Drosophila melanogaster: one gene and its partners. The protein of the gene in region 2 interacts with the protein of the main gene of each other region in a pairwise test. Each region holds a gene or a part of one and is shown on either strand. Other genes may lie near its edges.

Region 1 (5,804 bases), on a different chromosome or scaffold from region 2:
ATAGCTACCCTAGAAAATATTATTTAAATCAAATTGAATTATTTCATGGTTTAAAAAGTTATATTTGTTTGTATATATTTATGTGGGGAATGTGAAAAAGTCTAGGGTAAGATCTCGTCGAACCACTTGGCTCTTTGCGCCCTATGGTTGTTATTCTTACGCTTTAATGAAAGCATGTTGGCAATATCTGTATGTGGGCCTGTGATTTCCCAAAACAAACATTGGCCGTCAAATCATGCGCCTGATTTTCACTCGTGTCTGCTGGGAAACCGCGTTTCTTCATATTTCCGCTGCTGACCTCGTTCTTGGTGTGTTGGTGTCGAGAACAGCGGATCCCCACAAGCTATTGGAACTCCCACTCGCTCACCTCTTCGGTGTGCCCACAGCCACCGATGACTTCCTCCGCCACGAAGTATCTATAAATACGGCGAGCGACGCAATCAAACTATATTACGTCCATATATCTGAGGAAATGCATCTCAAGTGGCGGCTGTGCAGCCTGTAAATCTCGGTATTGACACATTGAAGAGGCCTTATTGAGTGCAGTTCGGCTGAGCTAGTAGGGATAGCGATTCGGATCCGGTCCCGACCAGGCAGAACTGCATAAATTTGGTTTGTCTTTGGCTGACTTTGTTTGTCTTTGCCGCTGACTTTGCCAAGCAAAACAATCCACTCGCCTTTCTTTTACATCTCTCGTCTTTGTTGTTTACGTTCCCCAGTGTCCCACGAAAATAAACATTCGGTGATTTGATTTGGGGTGCTCCCCTCCGATGGATGCGACGTTTTACTCGCCAAATTGCGCATTTCCGGAAGCGGCAGGGATATTCATTTGAATTTCGCCTTCGGCGACGGATCGTTAATAACCGAAAGAGTTGTCTCTTATACTCAGAGAGCGTGGGCCCGGTGTATCTGTATCTGAAACTTGTATCTGTATCTGTATCTGGATATGGGGCCGCATAGCCGATCCGCGCGGCGCCATGTGCAAGTTTAATGAATTAATTAAAATTTGGTTCCGAGAGCTTCAATGGGGTATGTATGCATCTTTGTATGTGCCCACATATCTGCGTGTGTGCCGCTCGGTATCTGCATTTATGCATCTGCTCATCTGACCTCCGATGCATCGTTTGGAGCACCACCACCTACGGAAATTTGATTGTGCCCGGCCATGGACTTAAAGTGATTTCAGGGTTAAACGAAGCGAAGGAAAGTGACATACATTCGGCTTGGGTTTGGCGCTGCACTTATAAAGCATATTTTTTGCCGACATTCTGATCTCGGCAGATTTGAATACGAATATTCTGTGGAAAAAATATTTAGTTCTTGGTCACTCTAGCTCAAAAATTCTCCGTCGGTCTATAAGCTTCAACATCTTTATTCAGTAGAGTTTACAGTTCCAGCCTCCTTGTTTGTCTCAGAATGAAAGTCTTTGGGTTAAATTTGATTTATATTCTATCTTAAATTCTAAAAATATGACGAATTTAACATTTCCTGAGGCCATAATCCCATTAAAACCACAATGTGTGTCGCACGATTCTAAATTTTAGATTATACAAGTCTACACATTCCATAAACGTTTCCTATGATTCACGGGCATATATTGTATGATCAACAGGAAACTGAGCGGAACAGGTGAATTTTTCTGAAATAATTCTAAAATGCTTGAATATGAAGAAGTTTTCGATTGATGACTGAATCCACAAACATGGAAGATCTCACATCCAATAGGCAACCCACATATATTTTGGCACAAATATTTTTATGTGGTTTTTTTGAATAGACAATACAAAAGCACAGCGAGTGTCGCTTATTTCTCAATGAAATACAATTAAGATCCTCATTTTGGAAACGCAGATGAAAAGGTTGTCCCCGGATTCATATTTTTTGTCACATCTCTGTTGATTTTTCATGAAAATATGCGATGTGTCCGGTCGAAAACGCTCGCGTACATGTGAAAATATATTCGAATCTCCTGCGATCCGACGAGACTCTCAGAAAATGACTGCGAGAGTGGCACTTTCGGTTGCCGTGGAAAATTCGTCTGCCATATGTCGCCAGCTTTTCGGTATTTTCCGCTTTTCTCGGCAGTTTCGCTGAAGCAATGAACGCGTGCGGTGCATCGTCTGAGAGCAGAAAAACGGCGAAAAACGTCAAATTGTCGTACCACAATTTATTGTCGAAAAAGTATATATCACCCATCTATACAAAAGAGTAGCGGGTATATGTATTCGAGTGCCTAGATGGCGAAAAAGTGACATTTTAAGAAATTTTCATGCGTTTGTGCAACCAAAACGTGACCTTGCCTTAGGGAAATATTCTCATCAGCCTATAAATCTTGACAATCTCATGAGAGCGGTAATAATTCGTGAAAAACTACACGTTCCAGTTTGGCATATAGAACTTGCGATCCGCCAATATGTACACTTTCGTCTGTTTTTTATTTTTAGTATTCTAGAAAACTATTTGGGCAAAATAAACCAAGTTGTTCATATTTTTGCGTTTACTCATTGCGGCAATAGCAAACAAATGTGATGCATCTATTTTTAGAAAATATATCACTTTTTAACATTTTCAGTCCAGAATTGAATTTTTGCATAAACATAGGAATTCCTATATTAATAAAAGCACACGTCGCGCTGCCAATTTTAAATAGTACCAACGAATAGACTAGGCTAAAGACTTTTATAAACGACTTTAAAAATAATGACATCCACTAACTAGCCCCCTAGTGCCACTCATACAAGAGACCATTTCAATTAAGCTTTGGAATATTGGGGGTTTTTGTGAGTAACAATGTCGTAATATAATTTTCGAGGCATTCGAAAATATTGCGATTTTACTTCTTTCTATAGATATCTGATGTATAGAGTGCACTTGCCTTTAGAATCCAATGTGCCAATCCCATTTCCGTCAACGAAAGTGTTTAACGATTGAATGAAATGTTGATCTCTTAAAGAGTTGTTCGAACAAACCAAATAAAAAAGGTCGTAAATATTTTTAGACGCGACGTGGCCGTTGTTTATGATTTATATGTTGGCCTGTCCTGTCCGGCTATTCAAATTGTTTTTATGGCCCGAAAAGTTTTTCTTTCACAATACGCGCGAGTGATTTTTACCCAATTTTTTAATGGATCCTCGCAGCTTGTGTGACCTTGGCCATCGTGTAGCGCACGAGTTTTCCAGACACTTGCAGTAAACTAGGAAAGAAAAGCCGGAGGGGAGTCGCCGGAAAAGTGTCAAGAAACTTGCGCACGCGTTTCTCGACAGATGTTTTCAAAATGTTTTCTTCTTTGGGGCCATAATTATTGCTCGGCTAATTCCAAGAGGCTGAGGAATGCCGAGCGATCGACGATGATGTAGCTCATCGCTGCAATAATGCGTAGGTGCTGTATATAACGAGCGATATGCTCACATATGCTTTTTCATTGAGCAAATTGCCTGGCTGATGTTTCAAGTTCAATACCCATCGCCTCGTTTCAGTTGAATCAATCTAGTGCGCACTCGGATCAGCCCTGAACAATCCGATAATGGATCAGCCACTGGTGGTGCAGGCGGAGTACTCCTTCATGGGCAGCAATAACGACGAGCTGTGCTTCCAGAAGGGCGATGTCATCACGGTTACCCAGCGCGAGGATGGTGGCTGGTGGGAGGGAACGCTGAACGATAAGACTGGCTGGTTTCCCAGCAACTATGTGAATGAGTGCAAGGTGCAGCTGCCTCTAACGGAGACCATAAGGCCGCCGGAGGAGATCCAGGAGTATCGGTCTGTGGTGCTCAAGGATCTGCTTGACTCGGAGCGCGCCCATGTGGCCGAGCTGCAGGGTCTGCTCGAGAATTTCTTGGAGCCCATGCAACAGACGCAAATGTAAGTTCTCTATTCTCTGACATAATTTGAATATAATCTAAAAGGGCTTCTTCTACAGACTCAGTCAGGATGAGTACGCCCAGCTGATGTGTAACTTTGTAGAGATTGTGCGTACGCACGAGGATTTGCTTATCCAGATCGAGGAGTGCAACGATCGAGTGGGAAAACTATTTCTCACCAGCGCCCCCTTGATGAAGAAGGTGCACCAGGCGTACTGCGCTGCCCATCCAAAGGCCATTGTCATACTGGATAAGTACAAGTATGTGCTCCTCGCTTTATATACATATATTGTGGTGTTCAATTGTTAATAAATATAAATTTTTTTCTATTCCAAAAGGGACGAGCTGGAAAAGTATATGGAACGACAGGGCGCAGCCACTCCTGGATTACTTGTGCTCACGACGGGTCTATCAAAGCCCTTCCGGCGACTGGACAAATACTCGGCCATGCTGCAGGAGCTGGAGCGGCATATGGAGAGCAGTCATCCGGATCGCGGCGACACCCAGCGGAGTGTTGCCGTGTACAAAGACATAGCTGCCACCTGCTCGGCCACCCGTCGCCAAAAGGAGCTGGAGCTGCAAGTGCTCACGGGGCCAGTGCGTGGATGGCAGGGCCAAGAGCTGAGCACCCTCGGGGACATCATCCACATGGGCAGCGTTGCAGTTGGAGCTGATCATCGCGACCGATACTTTGTGCTCTTCCCTCAAACATTGCTATTCCTTAGCGTTAGTCAGCGGATGAGTGCATTCATCTATGAGGTGGGAAACACAAGCACAACATGGCGAATTTGTTTGTAATCTGTTTTCACACGCAGGGCAAGCTACCCTTAACTGGGATCATAGTGAATCGCCTGGAGGACACGGATGCCCTGAAGAACGCCTTTGAGATAAGCAGTCCCTTGATCGATCGCATTGTAGCAGTTTGTCAGGGTCCGAATGAGGCCAACAAGTGGGTGGAGCTGCTCAATGCCAATAATCCCAGCTTGCCGATGGGCATCAAACGGCAATTGAGTAACTTGAGCAACTCTTCGCTAGGACACCTAAATGCCGCTCATGTAAGTAGTATATTTCTCCTATATATTCACCTTTATTATCGTTTCGTTTTGGCGACACTTTAAACCGTGAGCAGCTGAGTCAACATTTGGATTCACGGGGCTACTGCACGCGATTCTCGCTGTGTGCCTATTACTCCAGCCCCCCGTGCCATGTGCGACCTCTCCGTGTGACTCTTCCCCCAAGCAATTACCCAGCAACAGCTCCGTACGCCAATCTTAGTGCTCACTTTGCCAGGCTTGTTAAAGGCGGCGGACTGAGGAGTGCTATCGTAAAGATGCTTCTGTATCCGCAGGCTCGCCAGAGCATCGATCTCAAAAGGATTGCGTTGCGCAAAAGGCGTTGTCACAAGGCATCTGCAAAGTTAAAAGATCTCAATACCAATCAGGATTCGGGGCAGTCCGAGTTGGAACGACAGGATGCAATTGAACTACCAACGGACTCGGAGAGCTATGACGATGACTTTGAAGATGATTTTTTGCATTCCTGCGACTCGGATCCGTTTGAATATGTGCAGTTTTACCAAAACAAGCGGAACGATTCCATGTGCAACTCCACAGGCACATTCGTGGACCATGGCACGGGTGCCAGGAGGCACTGTTCCTCTATCAACCTCATTAAATTGGATTCCGCGGACACGGACGAAGTTCTAGCGCTCAACGAGTTAAAAAAGGAGTCTCTTGTTATAGGATCCAGAGCACTAAGAGCTTTGGCTCGGAAGTCCACGACTCGAAATTCCAGTGTGCACACATCCACGGCAACTTTGGAGCTAGGTGTGGGTGGCAGCATCACAAACTGTGTTGAGGAAGAGCCAATTCTTAAGGTCAAGCCATCGTTCTCCCTGCAACAACAAAGTTCCGATGCGAGTTCCATTTTTGCAGCTAGATTGGG
Region 2 (6,252 bases):
TCGCCAATGTAAACCCAGTGCTCGCGTGGCGTGCGCCGCATCAGTTGTGTTAGAACACCATCGACTGCTTGCATGTAGTCCAAAATAAGGCTAAAATAAAAAAGAGGTTAAATAAAGTAAATAATAAACAATTGCCACAGCACAGCTGTGATAAATCAACAAGCTGAAATTTCTACGTCTTGATCAAGAATTCTTTGTTCTTAATAGAAATTCTTAACTTCAATGTCACACTCAGATACGTACTTATCATTATCCTTGCGGCCGGTCTGAATCCACTGTTTGAGCAAGTACTCATAGTAGGAGTCCCCACGAGCACCAAGCGAGATAGTGGCGTAGTTTCGGAATGTTCCTGTGTTGGCGTTAATGAATATGGGCACCAAACCATGGTTCTTCTCCAGATCATGCACCTTCTCGTTTACTTTGTGAGCAACCTGATAAGTCATTTATTTTATAGTTCGTTATTGCCCTTATCTGATCTGTTTCGTTTACCTGTTCATAAATGGAGATGTTTGTAGAGCGACTCAAATCACGAAACTCTAGCTGAATGGTGGTGACCTCACTGGTGGAGCTATCAGGAGACCACTTCGGCGAGTGCGCCGAAAGATCTCCGAGATTCACATCAGAATAGGGGATATTTGACGGCGATTGAAAGGCGGGAAGTAAACGGTTGCCAAGTTCCGCAGCCTTGGCCAGAAACATTGTATCGCCGCTCAGGTGATATGCAGACAGCAGTCCGCCTAGGACACGTATGGTGACCTCGAATAGGTTTACATCGCGCTTGGTATCAAAGCGCAGTGATTGCTCTACCCAGTCGCGTCCTTCCTTGAATTCTGTGTAGATGTTATTGAGAAAAATAAGGAAAGTATTTCCATAAACTAATGATTTTGTGCACATTAGGATATAGGCAACTTACCATCATCCAGTCCCATTATGTACATGGTATCCAATGAGTCAACAATGGTTAGTCCCAGACCGAACCACTCGTGGGAGTACTGGGAGATGGGCTTCAGGTTGTCGTGGCCCCAGGCATACTTCTTGTAGCCAGCCCAGGAGTGCTTGAAGGCGGCTACAACAGCCGACTGTCTTTCGTTGGTGGCGCCATGGAAGTGCTGGCCCTTGGCCAGAATGGGCTTGATCTTTTTGAGATGCTCTTTGAAGCTAACGCCGCCCAGAGTGAGTGGGTTCTTGATGGCTTGCTCAAGCTGCTCGCCCTCGCTAAGCGGCTCTGCTGGATCCTGGGCGACGGGCTCCTCTACATTGTTTAGGATGTCGATTCCACCGATGTCCTGCTCCTTGTTACTATCGGGGGGAGGCAAGGCCACGGCCATGGCCGAGGCCTGGGGAAGTCCTTCAGCAGCCACCGTCTCCGGCAGACGGGCCACGTTCTCCGCTGAGTTCGCTTCTCCATAGGCAACTAGCTCATTAAACTGAAATTGATTGATATTGAGATATCATTAATAGATTTTACTGGAAGTGTGCTGCGTGGGCAATAAATCAAACACCAATAGTCAATCGTATTGATACGCATGCTATCTTAATAGGCAAACAACTCCAGCCACTTAGGCACTTATCAATTAAGTGGGGGGCCTACTTACCTTATCACTAACCGCCTCCACCCGGGGTGCTCTCTTATCGGCCGGAACAGGTACCGCAGCAGTGTCTTTGGGCACATCCTTATCCACCCCCGGATGATGGTGCGGATTGGGCAGGGGCATTTGATATGCTGCCACCTCGGCCTTGGTGTCCACATCCTTTAAGCTGGCAGCCAGCAGCTGATCGCCACTTAGGCAGAGCAACACTGTCACGCAGAATCCGGTGATGCCCAGAATAATGAGATTGCGCTGACAACGCGGTAGCTGATTCCAAGCCTGAACCGTGAGACAAAAGATCGTACTTATAAGTTCTGGGTTTCTTGAGGATGTCCCAGGACCCCAGCAACTGGACTTCTGCCAGGTTGCTACCTACCCGACGCAGGCTCTTCCTGCCCCGCTCGTCCGTCGTCGCCGCTGATCCCGGCGGGAGTGTGAGCGTTATGTGACCGCCGTCCTTCATAGTGTTTCACTAAATGCCGCCGCCGGAATTCAGAGTGTGGGAAAGTTGGATGGGAAATTCCACAGCATTCGCCTCGAATAAAAATCGATTGCTGTGCGCCGCTGGCCGCGGAGGAATCGGAGCTAACTAACCAAGGTTGGTCCAACTACTACCTCTTTTATGCCTTAATCATCTCTATACGTGCCAGTGCATTAATTTATATATGCTAGTTCTGGCCCACACTATGCAAAATTACAAATAAGAAATTCTAAAATTATTTCACGAGAGCTGCATTTTTGAGCTGCAATGCTGCCAACTTGTTCTTCAACAGTCCGGCCAAAACTAAAGATGGGGCTAGCAATCATTTACTTTTGAAATACCTCTTAAATAAAAAAAAAGCAAATTAAATTATATTTTAGATATTATCACTACTTTATAAAAGAATTTTTCTAAAGAATATATATTAATACGAAGTGGCTAATTTTTTCGAAAATCCAGCTAACACAGTATGAATTTAGCCAAATCTAGAGTGGCCAACACTAGTCCCACTTAACAGTGATTTATTTGGCAGCCCTGGTAAGCTCCAAGTGTGCCCACAATACGGCATTAAAGTGGTCACATCTGGTCACATCCCATTTTCACATCAAAATTTCGACGGAAGTCGGTGCGTAAACCCATAGCCCATTTTTAGTTAGATAATAGCACTTAAAACCCAAAAAATAACACCTACAGCCGGCAACGATAGCGATAGACCCATAGGAAAGCGAACCGCAAACCGACGATGCTCCGAACCCGACTCATCCAGGCGGCCAGCTCCGCCCAGCGAGCGTTCTCCACCAGCCAGAAGGCCCTGGCGGCCAAGCAGATGACCGTGCGAGATGCCCTCAACAGCGCATTGGACGATGAGCTGGCCCGCGACGACCGCGTCTTCATCCTGGGCGAGGAGGTGGCCCAGTACGACGGTGCTTACAAGGTGAGATCTGCGACTTTTCCTGCCCCTGCGCGATTACGTAAACAGCAAGCAGGCGGTTGCGACGACGACAGCTGATGCAGGTGGCCGGGATGGGGGAAGTTGGTGGTCAGCGGGGTGATATATGCGTGCTATATGTAACTACTGATAGTGATTCCGAACAGGTCGACGCGAATCCGAATGCGTGATCGGAGTGGGCAAGGTCACGCAGAATATGTGTGACCGACTGTCTGCTGATTATATAGATTGGCCCATAAAACAACGATTTGTTTACCCATTTGAGGTGGATTGATAACCGGCGTTAGCAATTCTATCCTATTAGATTCATTTAAACTATGATTGTGGCTACTGGTGTAACAACTAGATAGGACACGCAAAGTACAATACAATTACCTGTTAGAATAATGGTATTTCCTGAAGAAATCTTAGTTAATGAGTTATCAGCTTGGAAAGTTTTACAAACAGATAAAAGGTTCCCATCCTGAATAAGCCCTACATATTTTTCTGGTATCCTAACATTCTATTAATCATTTAATGCCCTTTTTAGGTTTCCCGTGGACTGTGGAAGAAGTACGGCGACAAGCGCGTCATCGACACGCCAATCACAGAGATGGGCTTTGCCGGCATCGCTGTTGGCGCTGCCATGGCCGGTCTGCGTCCCGTGTGCGAGTTCATGACCTGGAACTTCTCCATGCAGGCCATCGATCACGTGAGTTGCCTCATCCTTGTCCTAAGAACCACTCCCCGCACTCCAGCAGTAGGCTAACTACTCATATTATCTCATTGCCAACAAAACGTAAACCAAAAGAAAGAACACGACAATCCAATACAAATGCCTCACAACTCCAACAGCTAGCAAATAGACCAATTCAAGTGCAATATGCAGCGGCGCTTAATGGGATAATATGGGTGGATTAGCTCCTGCCCCAAGTCATAGATCGGACCTCACTAATCCCCACCCATATTATCCGATTATGTGCAGGCAAAGATACTCGATTGCGCCAAGCCGCCAGTCGGTGATCGCCCTCTGCCAATAAGCCTCATAATTGAAAGTCCACGCTCAACTTGGCTGAATGAGATCAACGACATCCTGCACAGAGATCGAGTCGGCGAGGTGATTGCGCCGCCGCTGGACAAGAGCAAGTCGGACAAGATGGAGGCGGCCCGCCTCATCGTCATTCGGCGGCGCAAGATGAAGAAGCACAAGCTAAAGAAGCTGCGTCGCAAGATGAAGTTCGAGTGGGCCAAGGTGCGCCAGCGCCGCGAGATGCGCAAAGAGAAGGCCTTCCAAGCAAAGCTGATATCCCAGATCAAGCAGGCGGAGGCATTCAGTGCGGAGCAGCACGTGGCGGAGATCCTGCGGCAGGCCAACGAGACGCCGCTGCCGCGTTTCTGGAAGGGACGCCGCCTGCCGGCATTTATCATTAAGCAGAAACTAGGCATTAAGTAAAGATCAAGACGGAACAGAAAGGAGTGCATCAAATAAAGCGTATTAACTTGAATTGGCGAATTTGCAGTTTGATGGAACAGGCATCCACACTGAGCATTATTTTCATTCATTTTTCACTTTATTATTTCTAAGTCATATTACACATTCATAATAATATGGATTGCTAAAATATATCCCTTTAAAATTTCAAATCTTAGATCATCAACTCGGCGGCCAAGACCTTCTACATGTCTGCCGGTGCCGTCAATGTGCCCATTGTGTTCCGTGGTCCCAATGGAGCCGCTTCCGGTGTTGCCGCCCAGCACTCTCAGTGCTTCGCCGCCTGGTACGCCCACTGCCCCGGCCTGAAGGTCCTTTCGCCATACGATGCCGAGGATGCCCGCGGACTGTTGAAGTCCGCAATCCGTGATCCCGATCCAGTGGTCTTCCTGGAGAATGAGCTGGTCTATGGCACGGCATTCCCTGTGGCCGATAACGTGGCCGACAAGGACTTCTTGGTGCCCATCGGCAAGGCCAAGGTAATGCGGCCGGGCAAGGACATTACCCTGGTGGCGCATTCCAAGGCGGTGGAGACATCGCTTCTGGCAGCTGCCGAGCTGGCCAAGAAGGGTACGGCACTGTTTTACTTTGAATGACGCGAAAAGTAGCTAACCTTCTCTTATATGTTTAGGTATTGAGGCTGAGGTCATTAACCTGCGCTCCATTCGTCCTCTGGACACGGCGACCATCTTCGCCTCTGTACGAAAGACCCACCATCTGGTGACCGTGGAGAACGGCTGGCCCCAACACGGTGAGTGGGAAATTCAGCTAATTGAAAGCCTAGCGATATTTATAAATTTTTACCCTCTTAGGCGTTGGAGCTGAGATCTGCGCCCGCATAATGGAGGACCAGACCTTCTTCGAGCTGGACGCCCCCGTATGGCGCTGCGCCGGCGTGGATGTGCCCATGCCCTATGCCAAGACGCTGGAGGCCCACGCCCTGCCCCGCGTTCAGGATCTCGTGGAGGCGACTCTTAAGGTCTTGGGTGGCAAAGTGGGCAAGGCCGCTGCGGCCAACAAGTAGGAACTCAGGACTAGCCAGCCTCCCGATCGGAACCCCCAGCTAACTAAATTTATAGTCCAAGTCGAAACGCTGCCTCTGGTCTAACCGAGCTGCCCCCATAATAGTGCACCGAACTGGAAATTGAATGTTCTGAAAATAAAGCACTACCGCTTTCGGGTTTTGATTAGTTTTCGGACGTTCTAGTTTAATTATTTGGTTATAGAAATCTCTTGTGAAAAATAAACGAAAACATAAATACATTTTGAGTGCTTATATTTTGGTATAGTTAATGATATAATATCAGAAGATAAAAAATATATAATTCTTATCGTTAATGATTGAAGTTTAAAAAGTGCGCGCACCGATGAAAACGTTTTCCTATTGAACGCTGTCCAACACTGACGACATCTATTTTTTCGATATCAGCCTATCGTTTAGCAATAGGTGTCCTCATATCGATAGCGATAATAGCAAAGTTAACAATAACAAAAGATATAACATAACAAATAATTGCAATGCTTTGGCTGTAATGGCAAACAGCTCCAGCTCCGACGAAAGCTGCAAGGCCCCCGACAACTTTCGCATCTCGAGCGCCTCCACAAACGGCGAGGACGAGGAATCAGATGTCGCAGGATACACAACAAAGCGCAGGCCAACGGCAGCGACGAAGGAACTGTTGAAGGATGCGAACGCCAAGGATAGGAACGCCACCACGGGAATGGGTGCCCACATGCGGTGCCCACTGTGCCACAGCTGCAG
Region 3 (5,623 bases), on a different chromosome or scaffold from region 2:
ACTGGACACGGCGCATATTTTTTATCACTTTGTTTATCAATAGCAGTCCGCAGGTCCAGCTGTCGTATTTGGAATTCTGGGTCAGCGCCGTTTCTGACCACCGAATATATATATATTCACTAAACAATCAATCAATCTAATATTCCGCAAGTCAATCAATATTGGCGGATTACATCAGGCGCTCAACTGGTGACTCGGAAATGAGTCTAGTCAATATGATTACTGTAAGTATAGTATGGCTTAAAGTCGCAGTCTAGCACGTGCGCAATTATAAAAATAAAGTGCTACACGGGCATAAATTTGTTATGCAAATTGTATTTATAAAACGGTTTAGAAAAATATCTCTAGTGGTTACAAAATCATTTATATGAGTGCGTAAAAGTTTGCAGCAAAAATCAATGCGAACTACTTTGATGCTGAAAATATATTGTAGCATACTTTCAAACATCTTTCTAATTAGTATTTTTCCGCTTGCCAAGTACGATCTCTTTTTAAAGAAACTTTATGCAGATTGGTGACCTTATTTCCTGCCCTTTGACAGTTTCCTTTCCTTCATAATCAAATGAATTTTTAACGCCATTTCCATAGCGTCAGGCGTAAATATAGCACTCAAATTGCCACAGTTGTGTTTGAACGACGCCAATTAAAAGGCAGATTTATGGGCAAATATAAATCGACCGCCCCCCGCCCCTTGCAGACACCACCCACTGGGCTTGAAATAGTTTTCCCACCGCAGTTTGTTACTGTAACTGGTACGGTTACTGGCTTTTCCCCTACATTCACTGCAGGACTTTTCCCTAGTTCTCTCTCTCTCTCTCTTTGCTCTCAGTCCTATTTTGTTTACAAACAAATTTGTTTGACCTGCGCAGTCGGAGGGCATTTTCCCCGATGACGATTACCTAGCAACCTTCACGATGGGACCCATTGAATGTTTTGGTTCTCTCTCTCTGGTATATATATATATATAGAGGGAATACCCACCATCCTAAATATATATGTATATACAAAGTAACGACTTCCGCATTTGGGAAAATGTAGGCCCAGAGAAACTTTTTTGCAGCCTCCCGTTCCGCAGCCGTTTTGGGGGTCACCTTTGCTATTTTTGGGCTTGCACAGGGTGCCTCCTAGTTGTTGGGTGTAGGGTCCGCACCACATGCTTACCTCCCTTTGGAAGCGGTTTAGCTGCAAATCGATGAAAGGCCCATAGCTGCAAATCAGCGCCAGTGGAAAATGAACACGTCAGCAACCCCAAAGTGGAAAACGGGGAAGGGATTTGGGTGAAACTGCGCAGTGTGCAGTGTTACTGGGCCTACCACCTGGAACCACCCCGTTTACCACCCCGAATCTTCTACCCTACAGTACCCACATGCAGCTGCGTTTATTTTCAAGAATTATGACATAATTTTTGACATTTAGATGCGCAGTCAAAAGAGTCAGGGGGGAGAAAAAAAACTTACATAACTCGAAAATACTAAACAACTTGAACTTGACTCTGTGTCTTTGTTTCGCATCGGTTTTTTTTTGTTTGTGTCCTGAGTAAACTGGTTTTGCCCGCACCTACAGCAGTTTCACTTTCTTCATGGCCATAAATCAGGACCTGCGAGGAACCCGAAAAACAGTAACCCAAAACCGAGACAAGAACATCAAGTGTTGGTTATTTGGCCTTTTGTTTGGATATCTTTCGGATGCACATGCCTAAGTACAGGTACGGCAAGTCGGCTGACTAAATTTCTAATTATAGTCGGGCATTATCGGCTCTGCGGGGAGGGCAGTCCCATCCCATTTTGGGATTAGCCACCAGCCAGTTGCCTTCCCCTGCTACCTGTTAGTTGGTTTTTGGATCTGCACCCGATGGGCTGAGTTGCGGATACCCCTGGGACTGTCCAAAATTGCCACGTCAGTATCTATGCTCTAATTAAACCAGATAATGCCGTCTAACGATAACCTAATTGCCTTCATTCCCTACTCAGTTCAGTGCTCAGAGGAATTGACACTGCTGCAGATAAATAAATAATCACCGAATTGGGTCGCTAAGTAGCTAAGTATGGTTTACTTAAAATGAATAACTTTCAAAAAAACAAATGATCGACTTATGAATTATAGAACTCAAATACTTCTGTTATCTAACACATTTTCTCCCTGTGCATCGGTTGGACTTTCTGTGACTACGGTTACCCTTTTGGCCAATTAAGGCGACCAGATTTGTTGGCCACGATCGAAGCGGGGCAGCCAACTGACTTTATCTGCCAGATACACATTTGGCTGAGTTCGCGTTGCTGCAGCATCATCAGCTGTTCGCTGTTTATGTTGTTGTCTGTGGCTTTTGTTTTTCAATTTTTCTTTCATTGCCACAGACAAACAACTGGCCAGACTTGATTTATCATCCGCGACGGTTCTTCCCATTCGTTTTTGGACCCCTACTCCCCACCCCTCCGTTTCGATCCAGCACCTTCCGTTCTTTAGAGGTTTTTTTTTTAGCTCTTCAGCTCGAAAAATGGACAATGGACAATGGCAACTGCAAGACCTGTTCTGCACATTTGGCGCATGATTCACTTGGGTTTTTGGGCCTGCTTTTGTGGCTGTGGAGCGGCAAGGTTTCTCCTCGAAATGCTCCCTATTTTCGTTTGCCTCTCGGATCTCAACATCTGAGCAAATGTTGGCAGGCATCCAGGAGATTTTTTTTGGCCATAATATTATAGTTGAGGAAATAATTGCAAGGCTAATTAAGATGTTAATCAGCGAAACATTCATTGCACTTGCCATCACCAGTTGACACTCCATGAACACACAATGATTGCACAAAAAAAAATATATAACTCGATCGTGGGGCAAAGTGCAGCAGCTAATATGTAAGTCTGAACACAGAGAGAAATTTTTCTAAAAAGAGTATGAGAAATTCTGAACGCTTTATGTTAGCATTTAATTCTATACACTCATTATTCCAATAAGCTCTACATTAGATGGTTTTAGGCAAATTTTTAGCAGTGCACTCAGCTGGGAAATGCCAGAGATCTGAGATGTGGCACGGATCTGATAACGATCGCTAAAAATGCTGAAAACGTGATGCAAGTCAAATTTATGGCTATTAGATGCCCAGAATGGAAATCCCCTTAACAAGAAACTCGGCCGATTTGCAGCCAAATACAATTTGGGGGAAAATCGGTGTTTGTGTGTGTGTAAGTGCATGTGGAGATGGAAAACTGTTGGCCTGGCCGAAAGCCAAGGAAAACTCACACAGCCGCAAAAGTGTGAACTCTTTGGATGCGAAGGTGCAATCAGAATTTTTTCCTGCTTTTTCGTATGTATCGCTGGGCTGCACTTTGGGATGTGTGTACATGTAAATCGGCTTGCAGCAGAACTTTTGAGAAACATATCTGAGCATGTGTTGGTGCGTGTGTGAGTGTAATGTCCTTTCCTTGGAGAAGGACTTCCGCTTCAGTATTTTTCTGCTTTTTTTCTTTGGGGGGGTTAAAACTGCACTTACTTGCTGCGCGGAGTTTATTGATCGATCGGTGTCGGAATCTACCCGTATTCTCTGCAATAATTTGCACCAGCAAGGCTTTTTACACAGTTTTCGAAATGTTTTTTAATTGGCGTGCTTATTGTTTTTTGTGCTGATTACTTCCGTTTTTGCTTAACTGACGGGGGTGAGAGTGCGGAGAAGAGCAGCGCTACAGGAACTCCGTGACGTATGCTAGCAACAACGACTGACGAGCGAATGATGGCAGAAGGTCTACAAACTGGCCAACCAAGCTGGTTGCCCCCCTATCTGTGTGCCTCTGCTGTTCGCTGGTGTTGGTGCGCTACCCATGTATTGGTGGCTCTACAGCTGAGCCCGACACACTTACCCTGTTTCTGCCTCTTTCTGCTGCTGCGCATGTGCAAGAGAGGCTCTTCGGATGCTCTATCCAAATCGAAAGTAACTCAGCTATGTCACTGAAGTAAACACATTGTATTGTACATTAACAATACCTTATACTTTGGCTAAATAGCTAGGACATTTTTACAGTCTATCTCTTTGTGAAAACCTTTTTATCAAGGTCTTTAAAAAGTAAGTGCATTTAAGCCGAATTCTTTTAAACTGTTAAACAAACTATTATATGCATTGTCTTAGCTATTAGAGAAAACTATTGCATTTTGTACAATCATATATTTTTTATAAAATTCTATTTAGTGTATTAAAAATCTAGTCGGTGTAGAGCATTTCACAACGACTATATTTCCTATTTTAGTTACTTTTCGTATTTGGCAAGCCTCTCATTTTCTCTTCAGCAGCTGATTTTGTTTGTATACAAAAATCATATTGCAATATATATATACTGAAAAGGAGAGAGAACAAAAGGTAAATAAATACAGAGTGGAAAAGGGGAAGAAAGAGATGAATGGAAACGAAAATGGAAGTGGAAAAAAGCCACAAAAGCTTAATTTGTGGTTTTTAAAAAAGTTATAACTTATATGCATTAAAGGCAAAGTCATAAAAACTAGAATTTAATATGTTTTAATATATTTTGTGGTTTTTAAAAATTTATGTACCTGATAATTGATACAACAGCGCTACAGCATATTAGGGAAAATAAGGACATAAGGTGTAATTAAATAATATGACACATATTTCTATACAGATAAGTGTCTTTTACATAGAAAGTATATAAAACTATTTAAAAAACGAGAGTAAAAAAAAAACAATTTTTAATCTTGGCGGCTAAATAACTAAAAATAAGCCCTGGTCGATTAATTTATTTGCGCTATCGATAAGAGCCCGCTGAAAAAAATCGAAGAAAAATCGGGCAGTTTTCCAGCTCTAGCAAAAACACACGTGTTTACGTTTTTAGCAAATTGAACGCAATTTCTTTACTTCTTTGACTTTTTCTGGTATTACTTAATATCCGACTACCGAAATGGGCAGAAACAATCGCTCGAGAAAGCGTCGTGATGAAATGAATAAGATAAAGAAGGCGCGGTACGAAGCCAAGGAGTTAATTCGACTGAAGAAAACTCTGGGACTCCTAGATGCCGATGGAAATGAGATCATGAAGGATATAAGCGATGTGGTCGAAATTAAGACCGCCAAGGAGCTCAAAAGGGTTAGTTATGTGATATACCCACCTACAAATATACCAATTTACCTAATGTATTATATGTATTGTATGCATGTAATATGCGAAAAACCGGCTTAGTTTATCGCGATACTACCTTCATTCTTGTTACGTATTTTATATCCTTATTAAAGAAGAAATTGTATTCCTAAAACAGGAGGCCAAATCCAAGGAGGAGCAGGAATTGATCTACGAGCACCAGGAGAGTCTGGAGAAGGGCGAGAAAGTCAAGGTGACCAACGAGAACACGGGCGTGGAGCACATTTTCAACAGCAAGACCCTCAAAGATCAGTACGGCAATTATCCTGCGTGGTTCAAGAAGAAGAAGACCGCCAAGCGTCTAAGAAAGAAGCAGCACTCGCAGAAGAAGAACTTCAAACAGGCCTGGACCACGGTTAATGTTCCCCTATAAATCCGGGGCTGGGTTACCCATCTGGTATCTTATCGTAGTTTATAAGTCCTCGCTTAGTTTAGGAGATTTTGTAGGCTTTTTCTACAAAGATGTTATAGCTAAGAGTATATATTGC

What was found.
Region 1: the proteins of Pdhb (region 2) and RtGEF interact in a two-hybrid assay, tested with the Drosophila melanogaster proteins (one large-scale study listed by BioGRID).
Region 3: the proteins of Pdhb (region 2) and TP53INP interact in a two-hybrid assay, tested with the Drosophila melanogaster proteins (one large-scale study listed by BioGRID).

Annotation. Positions count from the first base shown.
Region 1 is NT_033779.5:20,351,887-20,357,690, forward strand, and holds the start of RtGEF (Rho-type guanine nucleotide exchange factor), read left to right. Parts: upstream 1-2,080; 5' UTR 2,081-2,181; intron 2,182-3,476; 5' UTR 3,477-3,523; coding exon 3,524-3,861; intron 3,862-3,919; coding exon 3,920-4,120; intron 4,121-4,198; coding exon 4,199-4,619; intron 4,620-4,675; coding exon 4,676-4,915; intron 4,916-4,989; coding exon 4,990-5,804.
Region 2 is NT_033777.3:29,110,446-29,116,697, forward strand, and holds Pdhb (pyruvate dehydrogenase E1 beta subunit), read left to right. Parts: upstream 1-2,625; 5' UTR 2,626-2,695; exon of another isoform or gene 2,696-2,763; 5' UTR 2,764-2,812; coding exon 2,813-3,004; intron 3,005-3,548; coding exon 3,549-3,710; intron 3,711-3,983; coding exon of another isoform or gene 3,984-4,451; exon of another isoform or gene 4,452-4,501; intron 4,502-4,648; coding exon 4,649-5,060; intron 5,061-5,121; coding exon 5,122-5,241; intron 5,242-5,302; coding exon 5,303-5,514; 3' UTR 5,515-5,752; downstream 5,753-6,252. Other genes in the region: alpha-Man-Ib (alpha-Mannosidase class I b), read right to left, coding at 1-90, 244-431, 490-830, 914-1,427, 1,596-1,868, 1,966-2,052; Atg14 (Autophagy-related 14), read left to right, coding at 6,023-6,252. UniProt on the Drosophila melanogaster protein: The pyruvate dehydrogenase complex catalyzes the overall conversion of pyruvate to acetyl-CoA and CO(2). Might play a role in regulating synapse structure formation at neuromuscular junctions. Might play a role in maintenance of mitochondrial morphology.
Region 3 is NT_037436.4:4,405,246-4,410,868, reverse strand, and holds the start of TP53INP (tumor protein p53 inducible nuclear protein), read right to left. Parts: upstream 3,725-5,623; 5' UTR 3,485-3,724; intron 1-3,484. Other genes in the region: CG15019 (uncharacterized protein), read left to right, coding at 4,899-5,084, 5,254-5,508.